4 linked regions of the Arabidopsis thaliana genome follow. The protein of the gene in region 3 interacts with the protein of the main gene of each other region in a pairwise test. Each region holds a gene or a part of one and is shown on either strand. Other genes may lie near its edges.

The links.
Region 1: the proteins of CERK1 (region 3) and LHCA1 interact in a two-hybrid assay, tested with the Arabidopsis thaliana proteins (one study listed by BioGRID).
Region 2: the proteins of CERK1 (region 3) and SPL3 interact in a two-hybrid assay, tested with the Arabidopsis thaliana proteins (one study listed by BioGRID).
Region 4: the proteins of CERK1 (region 3) and AT5G15140 interact in a two-hybrid assay, tested with the Arabidopsis thaliana proteins (one study listed by BioGRID).

Annotation. Positions count from the first base shown.
Region 1 is NC_003074.8:20,338,684-20,343,703, forward strand, and holds LHCA1 (chlorophyll a-b binding protein 6), read right to left. Parts: upstream 2,494-5,020; 5' UTR 2,240-2,493; coding exon 2,049-2,239; intron 1,736-2,048; coding exon 1,633-1,735; intron 1,546-1,632; coding exon 1,257-1,545; coding exon of another isoform or gene 1,198-1,256; exon of another isoform or gene 1,166-1,197; coding exon 1,023-1,165; 3' UTR 821-1,022; downstream 1-820. Other genes in the region: CXIP1 (CAX interacting protein 1), read right to left, coding at 3,167-3,688; AT3G54910 (RNI-like superfamily protein), read right to left, coding at 4,284-4,550, 4,678-4,818, 4,881-5,020. UniProt on the Arabidopsis thaliana protein: The light-harvesting complex (LHC) functions as a light receptor, it captures and delivers excitation energy to photosystems with which it is closely associated.
Region 2 is NC_003071.7:14,302,798-14,307,164, reverse strand, and holds SPL3 (squamosa promoter binding protein-like 3), read right to left. Parts: upstream 2,165-4,367; 5' UTR 1,824-2,164; coding exon 1,525-1,823; intron 1,448-1,524; exon of another isoform or gene 1,434-1,447; coding exon 1,337-1,433; 3' UTR 1,093-1,336; downstream 1-1,092. Other genes in the region: MBAC1 (Mitochondrial substrate carrier family protein), read left to right, coding at 1-14, 104-202, 273-461, 550-648, 738-872. UniProt on the Arabidopsis thaliana protein: Trans-acting factor that binds specifically to the consensus nucleotide sequence 5'-TNCGTACAA-3' of AP1 promoter. Binds specifically to the 5'-GTAC-3' core sequence. Promotes both vegetative phase change and flowering.
Region 3 is NC_003074.8:7,614,533-7,621,307, reverse strand, and holds CERK1 (chitin elicitor receptor kinase 1), read left to right. Parts: upstream 1-2,636; 5' UTR 2,637-2,777; coding exon 2,778-3,417; intron 3,418-3,513; coding exon 3,514-3,547; intron 3,548-3,635; coding exon 3,636-3,643; intron 3,644-3,740; coding exon 3,741-3,896; intron 3,897-3,985; coding exon 3,986-4,179; intron 4,180-4,257; coding exon 4,258-4,347; intron 4,348-4,440; coding exon 4,441-4,534; intron 4,535-4,611; coding exon 4,612-4,763; intron 4,764-4,861; coding exon 4,862-4,950; intron 4,951-5,032; coding exon 5,033-5,168; intron 5,169-5,264; coding exon 5,265-5,363; intron 5,364-5,603; coding exon 5,604-5,765; 3' UTR 5,766-5,951; downstream 5,952-6,775. Other genes in the region: TWD1 (FKBP-type peptidyl-prolyl cis-trans isomerase family protein), read left to right, coding at 211-247, 528-704, 820-909, 1,150-1,334, 1,446-1,568, 1,709-1,861, 1,951-2,283.
Region 4 is NC_003076.8:4,906,479-4,912,324, reverse strand, and holds AT5G15140 (Galactose mutarotase-like superfamily protein), read right to left. Parts: upstream 3,675-5,846; 5' UTR 3,640-3,674; coding exon 3,069-3,639; intron 2,962-3,068; coding exon 2,912-2,961; intron 2,797-2,911; coding exon 2,673-2,796; intron 2,581-2,672; coding exon 2,473-2,580; intron 2,365-2,472; coding exon 2,055-2,364; intron 1,965-2,054; coding exon 1,655-1,964; 3' UTR 1,405-1,654; downstream 1-1,404. Other genes in the region: WRKY72 (WRKY DNA-binding protein 72), read right to left, coding at 5,446-5,846.

The sequences.
Region 1 (5,020 bases), about 13 Mb from region 3:
CCACGCAGCTCAAGTTTCTATCTCAATCTTACGTGGATATGATTAGGAAGATAGCTCCATTCTTTATTATATTGGAAGAGAATGGTGAAAATTTTGTCACATGTCAAATCTAAAGTTTTCTTTAAGTTTTTTGAAATATAAAATAAATTATTTGAAATTCTGATTACTTGATTTTAATGAATTAAATTGAGAAAATCATATAATAATAGAATACTAAGCCATATATGAATTAAAATCTGTAAACATTAATGTGGTATTGATTTTTCTTCAAATTCTAGCTCAATATATAATTAAGGGAACCATTGAATGTCAAAGATGTTATTTTCTAGAACTATGTCTCATTTAAACTTTATAGTTGAGAATATAAAAGGAAGACAAAACTTTCCAAGACTCTGTTTAGAGAGTACTCTATTTTGTAGGTGAAGATTAGTATGCAAAAGAACAAAAGAAAAATTAGTAGAAGTATAGAACAAATGTGATAAGAAAGACATCAACTAATTTCAAAAAAAATCCTTAAATGATTTTACTAGAAAAGAGAGGGAAGAAAATTAACAGGATTGTTTTTGTTCAATATGAAAAAATGTAGAAGGTAAAAATGAGGGGGAAAAAAGATGAATAGAAAATATTCATCAAAACTCAAATGTAAAATGCATGTATCTTGGTGTGGTTCAATAACCATTTATCTAAGTTGATATAAACAAAAAGCATATTTGGATAGAGTTGAGAACTCTAACAAATAATCATGAGCTAACAATGTTTCTTCTGTTATGGAGTTTATAGTATGTGAATGTGATTGTTGAGAAATCTAACAAATAGTCATGAGCTTACAATGTTTCTTCTGTAGGAAGCATGAGATGTAATGTGTATTTGGGTTCAAAAGGTTCATCACTTAGAATTCAAGCTCACACGAGCATTCGATCACCAAGACAAATTACAGGAATTCACAAATCTGTCTTTCATTACACAGTGTTTTTGATACACATAAAGCTCATAAGGTACACATATTTCTATTTTTACATTCATTAGTTGAAAGGGATAACAATATCGCCAATGTTGTTGTGCCATGGATCCGCCAAGTGAGTTGCCAAGTTCTCCAATGGTCCTGTCCCCGGGTAAGCCGACTGTTGCACACAGAATCCTACAAACGCCAACAGCGCAAGCCGCCCTGTTACACCCACCAAGCAAAAAACACCAACATTAGATATACATTTGTACATAAGTTTGATCAAGAAAGGTAAGTTGTTGTGTGTGCTTACCGTTCTTGATCTCTTTAACTTTCAATTCCTCGAGCTTCTTGGGGTCCTTCGAGTATCCAAGAGGGTCAAATGCGCCTCCCGGGTACTTCTTCTTCTCAGGGTCTTTCTCCATACTTCTCTGGTGCTCAACAAATGCAATGGCTAAGAACTCAATGGCCAAGATTGTGGGCAAAGTACCCCACGGGACTGGGTTTCCCAAGTAAGTGGCTTGACCCCCTGGTAGTGCTGCCCATTCCTGAGCCTTAACCCAGTTTCCATATCCTAATGCTTCTGGTACCAAAATCCCAGGCTACAACACCACCCACCAAGTCCATTAGATTAAACTTAACAAGACTAAACCCTTATGATAAGACAAAGATTGGATATTGAAACTTACAACAGCGAGCATAGCCCATCTACAGTGGATGAGCTCTGACTCTTTGTATCTCTCAAGGTTCGCTGGAACTTCTCCAAGTCCAAGTGGGTCAAACCCAAAGTCACTGCACAATGTTGTACCCAATAACTTAGAAAAACTGAAACTTTCTAAACAACCTCCAATGTTGAAATCAGAACCCTTAAGTCATCAAAAGAGGTTCCAGTAATCTATCTAGAATCTCTGAATACACAACTAAAGGGAATTCAAATTCTGAAAGGAGACAACTTTCTGAAATATGAATACCCAATAACATAAAAAAAATTGAATCTTTCACAAAACGTACAATGTTGCATCATGTCATCAAAACAGAGTAATCTAACAAACAATTCTGATTCCAAACTGAGCAACAAAACAGAGTAAAAGGGTTCGAAGCGTACCCAGGAGCAGAACCGTCAAGGTAAGCTGGTCGTGGCTCGCCAGGCATCCAGTGAGCAGCCATTCTGATACGACCAACATTCCCGGCGTTTGGGAGTGGAACTCCGGCGGATACGAATTTAGACTTGGAAGAAGAGAGAAGCGAAGGGTACACGGCGGCTATGCCACAGCTCATAAGCGAGTTCGACGCCATCGTTTCTCTCTATCTGTCGTTGTGTTTGCCACCAAAGGAGAAAGATGTGGACGAGAGGTGTTTGGTGGAAGTGTGAATGTGGGAGACTGATCGTATAAGTAAGATTTGTGAGATGAGAATCTAAAACCAGATTGCAATTGGCTATACAGAGCCTGCGTGGCTTTTTCATTGGGCCACGTGTCTTCTCGATATCATGTTCTTCTGTTCGATATCCATCTGCACTATGTGGTTCAGATAAAAGCAGAATCTACGTATATTACTATTTTGCCATTTATCCACTGCAACGAGATGCTATCAGATAAGTCTTCCTGTTCGGTGAAACACATTTCTACTAATGTTTTAAAACTTGACCCGGACCGGTAAATCTGCGATTGGTCATGAATCCGGTCTGGATTTATTGCTAAGACTGGAGACTTATCAAACCGGTAAAACTTGGATCAACGAACACATGCGAGGCTAAATCATATGTCTTGAAAGGAGTATCTAACAAACGATACATTTTGAGACAACGTGTTTAGACATTGAAGTGAGACAGAATACCATTTGCAGACACACTGTACCGGTGAATGTTCAGAATCTTTGGAACTAAGTTTCTTTAAATTGTATCTCAATCAGGATATGAATGAGCATAACAACCCATGACTTCATGTCTCTTAGTCAGAAACAAACTTAGATTCTACTAGCACTACTTCACACATAAACCTTTCAACAAACAACACAAATTTGCAGGCCAACACATATGACAAAGGAAACTCAAATTCCAAGCAACTCCAACTGTTGTATACCTAAATCCATCATACAATATATGTCTCTTAATGTTACAACCACAAACTCTGAAACATCAAAATCACATTTTTTTTCCCAGGTGATAGATAGATAGATAAGATCAAATTCCATCATCACAAAAACCAAGTATTGAAATCAGGATCAAGAGCACATAGCTTTCTCCACCTCTTCCTGCAATTCTCCAGTCTTAAACGCCTCAAGAGTAATATCACAACCACCGAAAAACTCACCGCCGATATAAAGCTGAGGAAACGTCGGCCAATTCGAATACTCTTTAAGTCCTTGCCTCAACATCTCATTCTCCAGAATATTCACATCTTCGAAAGGAACATTCAGATTCTTCAAAATCTGAACCACAGTGTTGGAGAATCCACACATCGGGAAGTCTCTCGTTCCTTTCATAAACAGAACCACTTTCTCCGAATTCACCAGTTTCTCCAGCGTGTCTTTAAGTTGCGGCGTAAGAGCCGACGCTGAGCATCGGAATTTAGTTGGTTTCAGCTTGAGATTCGAACCGTAGAACGATAGCTGATGGTTATGGACGACGAGTGCCGACGTTGGTTTAAGAGAGAATCTGATAGAGTGAGGCTTGTTGGTAACGGAGGAGGAGACGACGGCGACCGAAGTTATCAAGGTCGGCGTTTTGACAGATCGGAGAGCCATTTTTGACGACTTTTAGATTTGGAATTGAGAAATTGAAAAGGTAAATGATTTATGAGCCACAGACACTCAGTGCGAGTGAGAATTGAATAAACCATGTTGCCAAACATCACCACTAAGCCGGTAGTGCATGTCATAATCATGGGTTTAAAAATAAAAATTAGAGGACATTCCGGTTCGGTTTGGTTCGACTCTTTAGATTCCGGTATTTTAGATATTAAGAAATTGGTTGGTTCCACTTGGATCGTATTAGTATTTCGGTTTAATAATTTTAGAGAAATTATCAGGGCATCAAATGCTTTTCAGTTTTTCAACACAGAGCTAGTTCTCTTTTCTTCATTCACAAGGTATGTATATATCTCTACACACCTATAAAACCCCATAAACGATTAAAACTTATCATATAACTTCTCCAATCAACATAATTTGTTTTTTGGTGGACAACATATAGAATAAAGTTTTTATCACATACAAAAAAAACGGAAAACATAGAAAAAGATGGTTGACGAAAACAAATTTTCAGGTTGAAGACAAACCATACGAGCCCGGGGACATGGAAGAACTGAAGAACAAGCTTTGTTTTGGTGATCAAATACTCTCAATCAAACACGAGTTGGCATGTTGTTGAAGCTCTAGAAGAAAGTGCCAACTCCTTTAACATGTCAAATCTTTCATCATCAAAAACACATGACTTGATTGTTGTGGTCTTCAAGTGAACAGCGTTCTTCAAGAAATACACTGCAAGATCTCTCTCTTCTGGTGTTCCTCTATATGCCGACAAGTTGAGAGTTTGGAGACTCAACAACATACATTCAGGGACAGTACTTGGTTGATGCCAGTAAAGGATATCATGATTCTCATGATACTGAGATCAAACAGAAGAAGAATTACAGATCAAACAGAAGAAGAATTACAGATCAAACAGAAGAAGAATTACACTAAAACCATAATGTGCATCAGACAAGAAAAAAGAGTTTGACGAACAAACTTACATCCATTTCGGAAAGGTCTAGTGCTTGTAAGTTAGAAGAATCTTTGAGCAGTCGGACAAGTAAATCCGACGAATGCCCTTTGCATCTACATAGCTTCAGATGTTTAAGCTGGTTGAAGACAAAACCTCCATCATACATAGCCTGCGCAATATTAAAAATTATCAGCAAATGCATATCTAAACAATGAGTTGAGAAAATGATACCTGTGAACATATTGAAAGACGCTTGACAGATGTGATTGATCCAATAAGACTCTTGATGCTATGTAATTCAACATCTATATCTGCCTCTATCAGGTTAGGCATATTCTTAACCAAACAGTAGTGACTCTTACTGTTATGGT
Region 2 (4,367 bases), on a different chromosome or scaffold from region 3:
CAGAGCTAGTAAAGGTGAAATCTCCAGAACACCATTTCTTTCCCCGCAATTATCACCTTTGATGGTTTCCATGGAGTTTTGGGACATTCACTGTTTTGTTCAGTGTAGAATGCAGATCCAAGGAACGGATTCTCTGGTTCCTAACTTCCGTAGATACAACAGTCCTCTTGATTGTGCCGTTCAGACCGTTAAAAATGATGGGGTGAGAAACTCTCGTTGCTAAAATATTCTACTTAAGAATCGAATATCAGGTTGATGGGGATATCTTTCAGGTAACAGGTATCTTTCGTGGTGGTTCGGCAACCTTATTAAGAGAATGTACGGGAAATGCTGTCTTTTTTACTGTCTATGAGTACTTACGGTATCATATCCACTCGAGATTGGAGGATTCTAAGCTGAAAGATGGTTACTTGGTTGACATGGGGATAGGAGTTCTCACTGGTGGTCTTGGAGGCATAGCTGTAGGAATCTATATAGTGTGTTTCATAAATTCCATCATAAAAAATGTTGCTATTTTATATGAATATTACTTCTGCTTCTATGATGCAGTGCTGGTCAGCTGTTTTGCCTTTTGATGTAGCAAAAACCATAATCCAGACCTCTTCAGAGAAAGCTACAGAGAGAAATCCTTTTAAAGTGTTGAGCTCGGTCAGTCAGCCATCTTCCCTCTATGAATCTAATTACCGATACAAAAGAGTATATGAAATATTGTTTTTGACTTTAAATCATCTCTGCAGATTCACAAGAGGGCAGGACTCAAGGGATGCTATGCAGGTTTGGGTCCAACCATTGTGAGAGCATTCCCTGCTAATGCAGCAGCAATTGTTGCTTGGGAGTTCTCAATGAAAATGTTGGGAATCAAACGTGACTAGGATTAGTCTTCCAATCTAATTTATTTGGTTCGATTTACAGATCTTTAAACCACAAGGAGCTTGCATTTGCTTCAGATTTTGATGAGCTTTCATGTAACAGAACTACATATATCACGAATCAAAAGTGTCTCCCAGATTATTATTTTTGATAGCTATTTAGCTGTCTCCTCATTTGTTGATTGCAAAACAAATACAGATCCCTGGTGTAGTTTAAGATCTTGGCTTGAAATAACATTTGACAAGTTTAAAGAGTTATTACACATAATTTCTTCAAGCATTTACTAAGTCTCAATGCATTTATTTAACCATGTCGTAGGTTTAGCAGATAGCTTTGATTACAGGTAATATGGAGAAACAGACAGAGACACAGAGGATTACAAGGAGCTAAAAGAGACTGACAGAAGAGAGTAAGCAAAGCCTGTTTCATTAACCTTCAAACCGGGATCTCACACGTTTCACCGTCTTTAGTCAGTTGTGCTTTTCCGCCTTCTCTCGTTGTGTCCAGCTAAGCGTCTCCTGCAACTCCGCTTGGCTTCATCAAACTCACTGAGCGCGTGAAACCTTAAAAACAAAAGGTAAAAGGTCTCATATTTCTTGTTCTTGTTTATGGTTATTGTTGCAGGAGTTTTGAAAAAAGATGACAAAAATTTACCTGCTGCATTGTTGGCAGAAACGTTGGTGAAGACCAGAGATCCGAACATGAGGAGCTTTGGCATGAAACTGGCAGACTTTGTGTCGTTTGTGGTACTGTTTGGCTTTGCTCATATCCGCGGTACAACTCTCGACCTGACAAACTCCACTACTACTTGTAGCTTTACCTTTCTGCTTCTTCTCCAAAGCCTCTTCTTCTTCAAAAGTATCTTCATCTTCAGTTTCTTCTTCTTCTTCCTCTTCCTCACTCAGTTCTCGTAAGCTCCTCTTCCCTTCCGCTTTGCTTCTTCTCATACTCATCTGCAAAATTCAACTCTCTCTCTCACATGAAAGATGGAACAAGAAGAGAAGAAGAGGAAGTAAAAGTAACCATTGGAAGAGATATAAAGGAGCCCCAAACAAAAGTGGGGAAGGATCTTAGGTGCTTAAGTTGTTGGACCACTAAAATTTCACTCCTAAGGTATAAAAATTATTAGCATGTTGTGTAAAAAAGAGTACGAACAAGCTTTAGTGCTCTATTATTTTGTATATGCATACATGCATACATATGTATCCTTAAAACCTGACGAGGACCCAGCTCTATTTTGTAGTTTTAAGTTAATGTCGATGCTATGACACCACCCCGGTTTATTTTGTGGTTGATCATGTTAATGCCGATGCTATTTCACCATGCGGGTTCAAATATGCATGTTGTTTGACAAGAAAATATTGAGAGAGAGAAACTGAGAAACACTGTGAACATTTTGTCGCGAGATTAGTGGAAAATACATGTGAAGAATATGTGCTAATGTAGTGATTGGAAAAGCAAGACTGAACAGTAAATTTACATTGTGTAATGTTTTATTTTTGTGGTAACAAGAAGTTGAGATTCGAACTAAAAAACAGACCAAACATACCACATTGCGTTTTTATGAATCATTCGCTTTTTTTTTTTGGTAGTTAAAGTTTCTGTATCAAAAAAGAATAACATATTTAAAAGATCATTCGTAGTGTACTATTTTATTTTTCTCTTATGTTGTTGGTTTAATCATGGAGTGACTCAATAATTTATCCAACTGTAGGTTTGTAAAAACGTTATTACTGAGGAATATGTCCACTAATTTGCACATAAATGTGTCGTAAGGTTTATATTTAGTTTCAAAAAGAAGTGTTTACGATTTTATAGTATAGGGCCACCACTAAATTAATTTGACAATTTAATTTCTTGTTTGGTGTAGATGATAAGGTCAATCAAATTAGCTATCGGGGCCACGAAGCCAAAAGTGGATATACAAGAATGGTCCAAACTTGAATTATGTATTCATTTTTCAATTGGTATTATGTAAAACAAAGATATTAGCATAATTAAATGGTAAAAACAGCAAACACAACTCTGTTATTCGAGATATTTTCTTTTCGATCTTGTACTCAGGTCTCAGGGTACACTAAAGACTACACATATCTCGAAGACACTCTGAGACTAGAAGCAACAAAAGAAAAAAAGAGAGGCTATTCTTAACGTGCAAGGAGGTTTGTGGTTCGTGAGATTTGAAGATCATCTCTAACTTAAAGTTCACACCTAAAACCAAGAAAAGAAAAAAAAAAAACTTGTTCACACCATAAAACCATGCACATATACTAGGTTATGTCATCAGCTAGATTCATGCACATCAGCACATCCACATATATAAATAATGAGGAGCGTCGTCAAATATTGATGCCAATGCTAATCAAATGTTAAATGATTTTGCCGTGTTATGTCATCAGCTAGATCCATGCACATCCACATATATAAAATATAGAAGGAAATGGTACAGCGCTATGCAAACGTTTTGCTCTATATCTCTTAGAGGTAAGGGACAAATCTATTTTTTGTCACCCCCTCCTTTTGACTATTTACGAAACAAAATCACCAGTTTACTATCTCCACTATTTAGCTCTATTTGTGTTTACATCAATCGATCTAGTTTGCCCTAACTTATTTTCATAGAGCCACTTGAACGAAAATCTTTGTTGCCGAGGCAGGCATAACATAAAATTGAGTTCCACGACACTTGAAATAAACAGAATCGAATCAATATCTTGAACCCAATTTATAAAAGGAATATTGTTATGCACTTATGGTTTATTTTCTACTTCTTTTAAGTTGAAATAATATCTTAAGAAAAAATGGACAAAAATAAATAACGTCAAGATTGGGCAGTAGAGTCGTCAGCTGTCATGACACTACTTATCATTATTGTACTGCCTGTCAATTTTTTGATTGTATCTTTTATTCAGCAGCATCACATTCTCCTTCAGTGTCCTTCTCTTCTTTTCTTTTTCTTTTCTTTTTCTTTCCTCATTAAACCCATACAATTCTACGGTAAATATTATGGATTTGCATACAAACTCTCTAATTGTTTGTTTGGGTACTATAATATGGGGTCCCTATAATATGTGTAGCTTAACTTTAAGATAGAACTAAGTCAACAAGATCCGGAGACACCATGTCAAAGTTCTATGTTCTTATGATTAGATGAACAAAGTTATGATTTATTCAAGATTATCACGATTCGAACTAGTTCTAAACTTGTAAACGTAAAATAATAAATAACGTTTGCAACTACAACACTGAACATAAATTAATGAAGTTTGCTTGATGTGTTGGTTAAAATTTGGAATGGGACAATAAAAAGAAGAAGAGAACTGAGAGAAGTGGTGGGGGAAGTGGGAACCTTAACTTCCCCACGTGACACTAACGAGCAACGTTAATTGAATAGTAGTAGGCCCTTTTTGTAGTACACTCTTTTATATATGGTCACCTTTTAATTAGTTTGCAAATCACATACTTTTAAAATCATAAAAGCAATTAACGTTGCTCGT
Region 3 (6,775 bases):
CGTTTTCTGCTATTATTGACGACGAGACTTGATTTTGTTTTGAAATGAAATGGTTCAAGTAGCTGACTTCGACTATGTTCTTTTGGGTTTTTGTCATTGAATCTTACTTGTCTGATTTGGTCGATGTTTAATCAATTCAACACTTAAAGATTCAATTTTTGGATTGACACTTGCACATTTTTATTCAGACCCAGGTTGATTTGGGAAATAATGGATGAATCTCTGGAGCATCAAACTCAAACACATGGTAAGTAAATTTTCATAGATTTAATCTCTCTGAATACATATATATGACTTCAATATGTTTGATTGGAGTTTTTTTGTTGTCCCATATTCAATTGGATGCTTTGTTAAAGGATAAATGTCTATCAAATTATGTTGACTGCGTTATTCTTTCTAAATCATATTGTGAATCTTGGAACAAAGCATGTATACAACAAATTTGTTAGACTTGATAACTCCTTTTCTGTTTGTTAAGAATTGAGAATGACTATTGGGGTTGACTAATGCATCTTTTGTGGCTCCAGACCAAGAGAGCGAAATAGTTACTGAAGGAAGTGCCGTTGTGCATAGTGAGCCATCTCAAGAGGGTAATGTTCCTCCTAAAGTTGATAGTGAAGCTGAGGTCTTGGATGAGAAAGTCAGTAAGCAGATTATAAAGGAAGGTCACGGTTCCAAACCATCCAAGTACTCTACATGCTTTTGTAAGTACCCTTTAGCTTTCTGTTGATTGGATGTTGATTTTTCGATTGCACTTGTTGGCCTATTGCTACTGTTTATTTGAATCTTTCTATCTGACCAATTTCATATTGGCCATAGTGCACTACAGGGCATGGACCAAAAACTCGCAGCACAAATTTGAGGATACATGGCATGAGCAGCAACCTATTGAATTGGTTCTTGGAAAAGGTATGTGGCTGTCGAATATGTACTCTACACCTCCATTTCGTTAGATGAATCGTCATTGGTAAATTTGATGAGTTAGCTTGTGTATTATATGAACCCAATGAGATGGATATTTGGGAGGAAAAAAGATTGAGTTTTGTATTTTTTTTGCTTCAATGCTGATTAGCCCATTTTAACGTCACTATACAATTTTTTTTATAAAAAAGATTGTGCACTAAGAGTGAAATGTTGTCTGTGAGACAGAGAAAAAAGAACTAGCCGGTTTAGCCATCGGTGTTGCTAGCATGAAGTCTGGTGAACGTGCGCTTGTGCATGTTGGCTGGGAATTAGCTTATGGGAAAGAAGGAAACTTTTCTTTTCCGAATGTTCCACCTATGGCAGACTTGTTATATGAGGTGGAAGTTATTGGGTTTGATGAAACAAAGGAGGTAAGTTATTTCCTATACCATCATCTTGTTTCCTTACCAAGACGACTCCACATCCAAGCTTTATCCCAACCTCCTTGCTTACCTCTCTGACTTAGATGATGTATTGAACAGGGAAAAGCTCGCAGTGATATGACTGTAGAGGAAAGGATTGGTGCAGCAGACAGAAGAAAAATGGATGGGAATTCTCTTTTTAAGGAGGAGAAACTGGAGGAAGCCATGCAACAGTATGAAATGGTTATGCATCTCTCTCTATCTCTATCTCTCTTTCCAACAATTACGGTCAAAGTTTAGGTTTTCAGGCATACTTAGTGAGTCTGCTCGAGGCTCTTGTGTCTTCTTTCGGCTTTTGATTAGTCATGGTTTTGCTGTTTCAGGCCATAGCATACATGGGGGACGATTTTATGTTTCAGCTGTATGGGAAGTACCAGGATATGGCTTTAGCAGTTAAAAACCCATGCCATCTTAACATAGCAGCTTGCCTCATCAAACTAAAACGATACGATGAAGCAATTGGTCACTGCAACATTGTAAGACTCATCAAACCATTCATTTGAAGAAAATCATTAAAGTTCATACTCGGTTTCTCGAAATCTAATCAAACTCAAAACCTTATCAGGTGTTGACAGAAGAAGAGAAAAACCCAAAAGCACTGTTCAGAAGAGGGAAAGCAAAGGCAGAGCTAGGACAGATGGACTCAGCACGTGATGATTTCCGAAAGGCACAAAAGTATGCTCCTGACGACAAGGCGATTAGAAGAGAGCTACGAGCACTTGCAGAGCAAGAGAAAGCCTTGTACCAAAAGCAGAAAGAAATGTACAAAGGAATATTCAAAGGGAAAGATGAAGGTGGTGCTAAGTCAAAGAGCCTTTTTTGGTTGATAGTGTTATGGCAATGGTTTGTTTCCCTTTTCTCCCGTATCTTTCGACGCCACAGAGTTAAAGCAGATTAATGTATGAAGAAGGGTAACAATTCAACTCTAAAAGACCAACGTGAAAGATCTACCCCCATTTCTTATTAGTGAGAATTTTGAAAAATATTTTATATAAGAAAAAAAAATAGTCTCTATTGTTTTCGATTATAAAGTAACTTTATATTTTGATCCAAAAAAATAAATTTTTAACAAAAAACATACAAAATTCGAACGTAAAATCTACTTCCTTCAACAGAAATGGCGGTCTTCATAGTTTTTGTCTTTGACCAAAGACTTTCAAATTCCAGCTGCTAGTTGCATTAAATGATCTTAGTATTATTAATTAATTAAGAAACTTCTCAACAATTAACAAACACTAATCAGTAATCATCATTCTCTTTAGTTGAAAAAAATAGTCAACGTTTGATTAAGTCAACCTTTTTCGTCTTTGAATCCATCTTCTTCCCCACAGAGCAACGACGAAACAAAAAAAACAGAGACCCTTCCTCTGGGGAATCTAAGGAAGCTTCAAAATGAAGCTAAAGATTTCTCTAATCGCTCCGATTCTTCTTCTCTTCTCATTCTTCTTCGCCGTGGAATCTAAGTGCAGGACTAGCTGTCCTTTAGCTCTAGCTTCGTACTATCTCGAGAACGGAACAACACTCTCCGTCATCAACCAAAACCTCAATTCTTCAATCGCGCCTTACGATCAAATCAATTTCGATCCAATCCTCAGGTACAACAGTAACATTAAAGACAAAGATAGAATCCAGATGGGCTCTAGGGTTCTTGTACCTTTCCCTTGCGAATGTCAACCTGGTGATTTCCTAGGGCACAATTTCAGCTACAGTGTTCGACAGGAAGATACTTACGAAAGAGTCGCGATTAGTAATTACGCGAATCTCACGACGATGGAGTCGTTACAGGCGAGGAATCCTTTTCCGGCGACTAACATACCTCTCTCTGCGACGCTTAATGTATTGGTGAATTGTTCTTGTGGTGATGAGAGTGTTTCGAAAGATTTTGGTTTGTTTGTTACGTATCCGCTTCGTCCTGAAGACAGTCTCAGTTCTATTGCGAGATCTTCCGGTGTATCGGCGGATATTCTGCAGAGATATAATCCCGGTGTTAATTTTAACTCCGGGAATGGAATCGTTTATGTGCCTGGAAGAGGTACAAAGATTGATCTTTGATGATTTGTGACACAAATTGTTATAAATGTAGTAATGATTGTTGAAGTTTATGTACATGTTCCTGTGTTTTTTGCAGATCCAAATGGTGCATTTCCACCATTCAAATCAAGGTTGTTTTTGTTGTTGTTAAGATTGTATCTTTGTTCATTTTGATATCTATTTACTGATGTATTTCTACTTCTCTTATGTTTTTTGTAGTAAACAAGGTTGGTTCTTTTCTCCATTTTTGAGCTTTTGATGATTATGCACGAAGCAAGAGGAGACATGGAAGAGTATGTTTTTGATATTTTTTTGTATTAGCAGATGGTGTTGGTGCTGGAGTTATTGCTGGTATAGTTATAGGAGTGATTGTGGCTTTGTTGTTGATCTTGTTTATCGTATATTATGCTTACCGGAAGAATAAGTCGAAGGGTGATTCGTTTTCTTCTTCTATTCCGTTGTCTACTAAGGCTGATCATGGTAATTTCGTGATGATCATATACAAGCAGTTTTTGTCTCTTTTGTTAGCTGGGAGTTGCTTATTATGTTTATATGAAATCTGCTTTTAGCTTCTTCTACTAGTCTCCAAAGTGGAGGTTTGGGTGGTGCCGGAGTGTCTCCTGGCATTGCTGCCATAAGCGTGGACAAATCTGTTGAGTTTTCGTTGGAGGAACTAGCAAAGGCTACTGATAATTTCAATTTGTCTTTTAAGATTGGGCAAGGTGGTTTTGGGGCTGTTTACTATGCAGAGCTGAGAGGAGAAGTAAGCAGATATCTTTTTATATCTTTTTGTTTGAAGCTACTACACATGGAACATTTAAATTATTCGGTTCTTGTATAGAAAGCTGCGATTAAGAAGATGGACATGGAGGCATCGAAACAGTTCTTGGCGGAACTAAAAGTCTTAACGCGTGTACATCATGTCAACCTGGTAAACCCCTTTTGTGTTCTCTCAAGATAATATCTGAGATCAGATGAAGATCAAGTCTTAGCCAAATTTTAACGAATTTGTTTTTTCTTGCAGGTTCGCCTGATTGGATATTGTGTTGAGGGATCACTTTTCTTGGTGTATGAATATGTTGAGAATGGTAACCTTGGACAACATTTACATGGGTCAGGTACGCAATATAAAGACCTCCAAAAGTGAATCATTTTTCGAGAAAGTTGTAAACTAAAAGAGTTTATGTGAAACTAGGACGAGAACCATTACCGTGGACTAAGAGAGTGCAGATTGCACTAGACTCAGCTAGAGGTTTAGAATATATCCACGAGCACACGGTTCCAGTTTATGTCCATAGGGACATTAAATCTGCCAATATTTTGATAGACCAGAAATTCCGAGCAAAGGTACATTCTCGATTTCTCTTTTGTCAATCAAAAGTGAAAAATACTGAAAAGGTTAGATTTTTCCTTTGTCACCGCTCTGAGTCGTTTACGTGTTACAGGTAGCAGATTTCGGGTTAACAAAACTGACAGAAGTTGGAGGTTCAGCAACTCGGGGTGCAATGGGTACATTTGGTTACATGGCACCAGAGTAAAGAATTTGATCTCGTTTACACTTATATACTACTTTAGAGACTACACTATAGTGATGGTGTATATATGTATGTATGCAGGACTGTTTATGGAGAAGTGTCTGCAAAAGTAGATGTATATGCATTTGGAGTTGTCCTTTACGAATTGATTTCTGCGAAAGGTGCGGTTGTCAAAATGACAGAAGCCGTTGGTGAATTTAGAGGCCTTGTTGGTGTGGTTAGTATTATTGTTTCTTCGTAACATTTAGTCTTTCTGATTTAAAGGCATGTATGTGGATCACTTAACAATATGCTTTGTTTATTTATTATTCAGTTCGAAGAATCATTCAAGGAAACCGACAAAGAAGAAGCACTACGCAAGATTATAGACCCGAGGCTCGGTGATAGTTACCCGTTTGATTCGGTATACAAGGTAATATCTCTTCTTGTTCCCTATTCTATTCATCATTGATCATTCTAAAAGAGGGTGTCCAATCCGTTTTTTGGTCCGAAAAACCGATTAAAAGTGCGATTTTTAAAAACCGGTATTCACTGAACAATGTGCTATTCGATTAGCTTAAAGTGTCGAAAAATCAAACCGAATACCGGATTGCACATAGCTAATTTTAATAACGGGGTAAGCCAATTTGGTGTTTTATGTGTTGTGGTATAGATGGCGGAATTAGGGAAAGCATGTACACAAGAGAATGCGCAGCTACGTCCGAGTATGAGATACATTGTGGTTGCTTTATCCACTCTCTTTTCGTCTACCGGAAATTGGGATGTTGGAAACTTCCAAAACGAAGATTTAGTCAGTCTTATGTCCGGCCGGTAGACTCGTTTTCCGGTTTGCTGTTGTTATATAGAAATGATTGTTTTTTGGTATGCTCACGTATATTTTGTCTGTCTATACGAACTTTACATGTCACAACTCACAAGTTGACTTTTATATGATTTTCTATAACGCTCTATATGTCAATTATTCAACGTCTCCGATATCAGCATCTCACGTCAAAGATAATAATGAAATGCATTAAAATTCTCATAAATAAATTTTTTGAAATCGAGTTTGCCGACAAAAAAATCAAAACATAAAAATATAACTTTTTGTGATGGATACTCTCACGAAGCTTAGAACAAGTCTTCCATAACACCAAAGAAATTCGAATGATTTTGTCACATGGATTCCCCAATACATAAAATCTATATTCCAGCTTAGAACACTAAGTATGTTTCTTATTTCACCTAGCTAGATTTTCTTTATTAGAAATAGAGTAATCGAATATTCTTTTACCATAAACCAATATATTTCATTTTTTGTTTTTTTCTTCTGTCAACAACATACAGATACGGCTACATATATCTATGATTTTTTTTCGTTTGTCCATTATTTGTAACGGAATAATTATTTAAAACACACAAAAAGTTACCTTAAACTGACTAATATTAAATCAAAACTTTTTCATTCCAAAAGTCAGATCTCAAACCTTTTTTTTTAACATAATGTGTCCTCTAAACTTTCAAATCAGGGAATAAATAAATACATTAGAAAACGTTAAACCAATATAAAATACAGCCGTTATAATATGAACATAAATAACATGCTAATACGGCGAGACCTATAAGGCTAATAAACCATTATTGCTTCTCTAAAGAAACTGAAAAGGAACCCAGTAACGGACGATGTCCTAAACAACAAAACATTCAATTAAAATACAAATTCCTTAATTAACACTATTACTTTATTTAACACAAATTAATCTCTTTTGCCAGGTGTCCTTCACCGTTTAATCCTCGGTTCGCTAAATTAGTTAATTAATTAATTAAATGGACTTGTAACACCCA
Region 4 (5,846 bases), on a different chromosome or scaffold from region 3:
TGCCACCACTTCACTTCCACAAAAACTACTTGCGATTTTGAATGTTTGGCAAAAACAAATCTAAAATTATGAGGTGGTTAGTTGTTAGGCAATGGTTTTTCTTAAATTTATTGTGATATAAATCACTAAACCTAAACTTTATGTAGAAAATAAAACGAAGACCCTTTATTAGAAAATATAAATAAATAAATAGATCACAAAATCAAAAAGTTTCAGTTTACCAAGTAAAGTGAAACGAATTGTTGTATAGGGTGAAAGAAAGTTACTGTAAAACCTAAAATTTATGGTCAGATCGCAAAACTAAATGTCAACTCCACTAATCTATTCGGACATCACTCAATACGTGTGCGTACTTACATACGTAGTTTATGGAATATATAGCTAGATAAATAGATAATGGCATGTGAGATCTTGGGTCTCTCGTATATTTTATATGGTTGTATAAGAATTTTGGTGAAGTGCACATGTTTAAGTTGATGGATAATGGATAGGTCAACTCCTAAAATGTTCTGTTTTCTACTTTTCTACATTTGATTTAACAAACACCGTCATAACGAATACGTCGAATAGATTGACCCGCCATATATAATCGCATTAAATAAATTAATTTGATCTTAAAAATCCGAAAAAAGTAATAATATTTCTTCATTCCCACATTTTTATGACCAAACTTTTGAACAATTCAAACATCCCCAGATTACCCACATAGTTTGAAATAATATTAACTAATAGTAATTCTCTAAAGAAAAATATAATGAGAGGATGTGCGGATTTTTTTTTTGCGTAAGTTGTTGTAGAGGACATTGATAAATACCTTTGCTTGTGCCTTATAATAAGAATATTGTCTAACTGAATACATAAGTTTTCTTTTAAATGTAAAAATTGATGGACGATGAACTATTCTTAAGCGACAGATTACATACGAAGTATCTCTTTTAGACCGTTACAGTTGGTGCAAAAAAACTCATTCTTCTAAATTACTTCGAGTTCGTTCAAAAGATCTAACTCCCAAATAGCTTCAGGATTTTAGTTATTTTTAGTATTTTATTTTAATCACATTTGGATTTACTGAAATAATTAACAAAAGCAGAGCCGAGAAAGTCTATGTCCACGAGCGACACCATCTCAACATATGCCCGAAAGGTATTTGTTTGATGAACCAATGAGTAAACTATTCGAAAATATGCTTTGTATTATACCGAAAAAAAATCCGAAGATGCTTTGCATTTTTGTAAAAAAGGACGTCAGGATTCTTGAAAACACTTGGTGTGAGCACCTTATATAGAGATTGGTACGTCGACCTTGACTCTTGTTGGTAGGGCTCTTACTCTTAGATACAATTATACAAATATCAAACCCTTAAGGTACGTCTTCAGTGGAGTTATATGCAACACAAACTGGTTTCGGATCTTGAATCAAATTCATAGGGCACTTAATTTTTCCTCTATATAATCATATACTGTTATATGGTTACAGAAAAATAGTGCATACTTATGAGTTATGCATAAATTACGTACAGATCGAATATTCACGTTAGGTTCATATAATTTGATAATTTAAGCATTGTTACAAAATATTACAATGTATTTAGTTTCTTGTTCATGAACATTGGACATGGTTCCAAGGGTGTTCATGTAACAACATCTAAAACAATCTATGAAACAATAGAAAACTTGAAGAGCATAGTGTGTTTGTATTTTTTCCCTGGCTCGACAATCTGTGAAGGAAATTTGGGATGGTTCAATGCGTCTGGATAACTTTGTGTTTCTAAACATAATCCCCCGAAAGCTTGGTAAACTGCCCCATTCTTCCCTTTGACATCCTTTAACATCCCTCCGGTATAGAATTGCAAACCCGCTTGGTTTCCGGATAACTCCATTTTCCTCCCTGATTTCTTATCTACGAGTTCAACTATTTTTCTCATCTTTTTTGCCTTACCATCTAAGCAATAATTTATATCATATCTGCAAGATAAAAAATGAAACAATCATATAGGTTACTGTTCATACTAAAACTGATATTTTAGCAAAGTATATATATGTGCTACCACTCACCCTGTTTTAAGATCCTTCATATTATCTTTAATAGGACGGAGTTGGAGAAAATCGTATGCTGTTCCTTTCACCGGATTGATTTTCCCGGTGGGAATGAGCTCACCGTCGACGGGGGTATAACCCGAGCCGAGGATTTGAATTTCTTCAGACAAAATATCTCCGGAATTATGACCACCAAGATTCCAATAACTATGATGAGCTAAGTTCACCGGAGTTGCTTTATCCTTAGGCTTTGCCTCCATCACCACACTCAATTCATTGTCTTTGACAAGTTTATATGTCACCGTGACACTGAGTTCTCCCGGAAACCCTATTGATATATAAAAAAAGAGGACTAGTAATCGTTAGATTCTTCCTTAGATCATAGTACATTTCAAAAGTTTTGGGTAGAATAAAAAAGTAGTGAAAGAAAGGGAACCTTGATCGCCGTCAGGACTTGTGTGAGTGAAGACAATGTGTGGTTTCTTGCCATCGTACTGGTGTTTTGCAACTGCCCACACAACATCCCCAAACCCTTTCTTGCCACCTAATTTAACAAAAATCTAAATCAATTACATATATTCGCATAAATCATAACTAATTGATCTAATTATGTTATGGCAATCATAATTAATTTACCATGGAGTGTGTTTTTTCCATCGTTGACACTTGTCTTGTACTCTTTACCATTCAACTTGAATTTGCCCTTTCCTATTCTATTTGCTACTCGGCCAACGGTTGCTCCGAAATAAACCTTGTCGGTCTAAATAGTGATAAAAAAAACTAATTTATTAGTTTAGTATAACAAAAACATAGCAATAATTCAAAAGTACAAATTAAAAATATAACACACACGGTAAAAAGAATTTTCTACATACCTTGTAGGTTTTGACGCTATCATAGCCAAGAACAATATCGTCCATTTTACCTGAAAATCAGTATTAACCATTAATAATACAATTTCGTTATATGTCTATACGATATATATAGTATGAGTTGTATTTTTGCCAACAATCAATATGATTGTTCACTAACCATTTTTGTCTGGGAAATGGAGAGATATGATTGAAGCACCCCAATTTGTGAATTTGACAGTTAGATTTCCCTTCTTGAGCTCGTATAACCCAATTTTCTCCTTCTCATTATCATCTCCATCAACTTCATCATCATCATCATCATCATCATCATCGTCATCGTCATCATCCGTATCATCATCACTATCATCATCATCATTGTGTCCATCCTTCTTTTTATCCTTGTGCTTCTTTTCATCATCATCATCTTTATCATGACCACCGCTCTTCTTCTTATCAACATGCTTCTTCTCGTCATCCTTGTCTTTGTTTTCATGTTGTTTATCCTTTTTTTGCACATCATGCTCTTTCTTTTTTTCTTTTTTATCGTTGTCTTCATCATCAGAACCGGCACCATCTACCTTTTCACCTCCCTTCTCTTTGTGTGTACTATCATGATCAACCTTCTTATCTTTCTTACTGCTCTCTAGATCTTTTGATTTCAATTCAACGTTGTCGGCAAATGTGACACTTATCACAACTCCTAACGTAACCAATAGAATTAAACATAGCAAAACAGAACTTCTCGCCATATTGAAGAAGACAAATAAGAATCACAAGTAATTATGAGTCAAATGAATTTCTTGTTGAGAATTTATAGGTTGAATGTTACTGGATAAAATTAGACAAAATAGGAAGTTTTTGACGAATTTGTGATTCATAGAGAATTTAGGAGATATCACCGGATTGTGTTTACCATTTATAATTTTCTTCTTATCCCAAAATCTTTACAGCTAAAGTTGCATGAATCACCAAACTCTAATAGATAAACTTAAACACACCATTTTTATCTTTTTATTTTTGGTAAGAACACACCATTTTTTTATCTTACAACTAATAATGGACTATAATTGAGATATTGAAATCTTTATAACTATGGAATATTCAAATTTATTGACGTATTTAACAAATCGCAAACGATATATTTTTATACCGTTTTGTTTAGCGATAAGAGTGATAGTTTACTTATATGCTTGATTCTTTCTATTGCTTACATGCTTGATTCTAGGACTGAATTAATTATGGCTTATCTAAAGATAGAAAATAGATTCATCATTAACTCATGTCATAAGAGAGAAAGAGAGACCTTTGATTGAATCATTTATATGATGAATACATCCAAGGCGGCACTAATCTTTTTTGATTCACAAGAATCTTTAGATTGATTAAACCGAAATGTGTATGACGAAACCTCAAAAGAATTTGATCAAATATAAGTCCATCTAATTTCTTTAATTAGATGAATAGTAAATTTGAAATGAATAGATAAATAATTCATGGACGAATAAACTAATGATAGAACAATATTCACATTTTCCTTCTTTATTTTTTGGTCAAGAATATTGTCATTCTATTCTTTTTTGAATTATAGTAAGAAACAGATAAAATGTGTTCGTCTTATAAATGATGAAACTCTTAAATAAAATAAAATCTATGTAACCAATAAGCTATTCTTATTTAGTTAAATGGAGGAAACTTTAAATAGATTAATTTTCTCTAAATAATTTATTTGCATACCTTAGTAGCAAACCGGTCCGGTCGGATCTGAACAGAACAAATCAAACCAAAATCAGAAACCAAACCGGTTTTGAAAAGATTACTAATCATTCACCACCAAACCGGTTCGAACTCGAATCATCATCATTACAGATTATTCGTCGTCTTGTTGTTGTTGTTTACAACTTTCTTGACTTTCTTGAAGTATTTCTTTATGTTTTCCCATTTCTCTTTGCATCTCTTTTCGGTGATCACTTGTAAGTATCCTTTCGGTGAATATCAAAGATTTCTCACTAACGCCCATATGTTTAGGCCCACGCCCATTTGTTTAGCCCCAATAAGGCTGAATCAGCATATCAGATCCATTTCATCCTACAGTACACTTTTAATTCGAAAGTTGCTCCGACACTTTAGGCCCACGCCCATTTATTTTCACTTTTTTGTCTAAATATATATACATATGATATAATATTCTCTCTCTATTTTTTTTTCCCTTTCAAATTGTAATTTTCTTGAAACCAAATTGTATTGTTGACTCTTGTTTTATTATTTTCTACTTAAATAAAAAAACGTTGTGATTATTGATTAATCTAGTAGATAGATTAAATTATTGTATCATCTCAATCTAAATCAAATTAGAACATAATATTTGCCACACAAGAACATAAAAAAATTGTACATTTGGTTTGGTTTATTTGAATTTGGTTCCATAGTCTCCTAACTAAGAAGAAAAAATAAACACTTTTGAGAAACGGACGAACAAGAATCAACATATCTTGATACAAGACTAATTAAAACACCTAATAAAAAATCACCCAAAAAACAAAAAACAAGAACAATGACTAGCTTTTCTCTTCCTTGTTCACGAAATTAGTCGTAGAAGACGAAGAAGAAGAATTCTTGAACATAGAGAAGGGAGGAAGTTGCGACGATGGTTGATCCAAAGAAGCACCCGTTTGATTACTCGCCATAATGTTAGACATCAATAAGCTGCTAAAATAGCCTCCACATCCTTTGTTATTATTCGTCGTGTTGGTTTGTTGAATGTTATTGCTAATCGAATGCCGTGGACCGACAATCTGTTGTTCTCCATTTGATCCGACCATAGTTGAGATGGCAGCAGCGATCACCGAGTGGAAACTTGGGTCGGAAGTAAGCGCTTTTGTTAGGGTTTCGGTTAAGGACTGGCTATTTTGGACTGTTTTTCCTAGGTTGGACGTCCCAAATTGGACGTTGTTGTAAG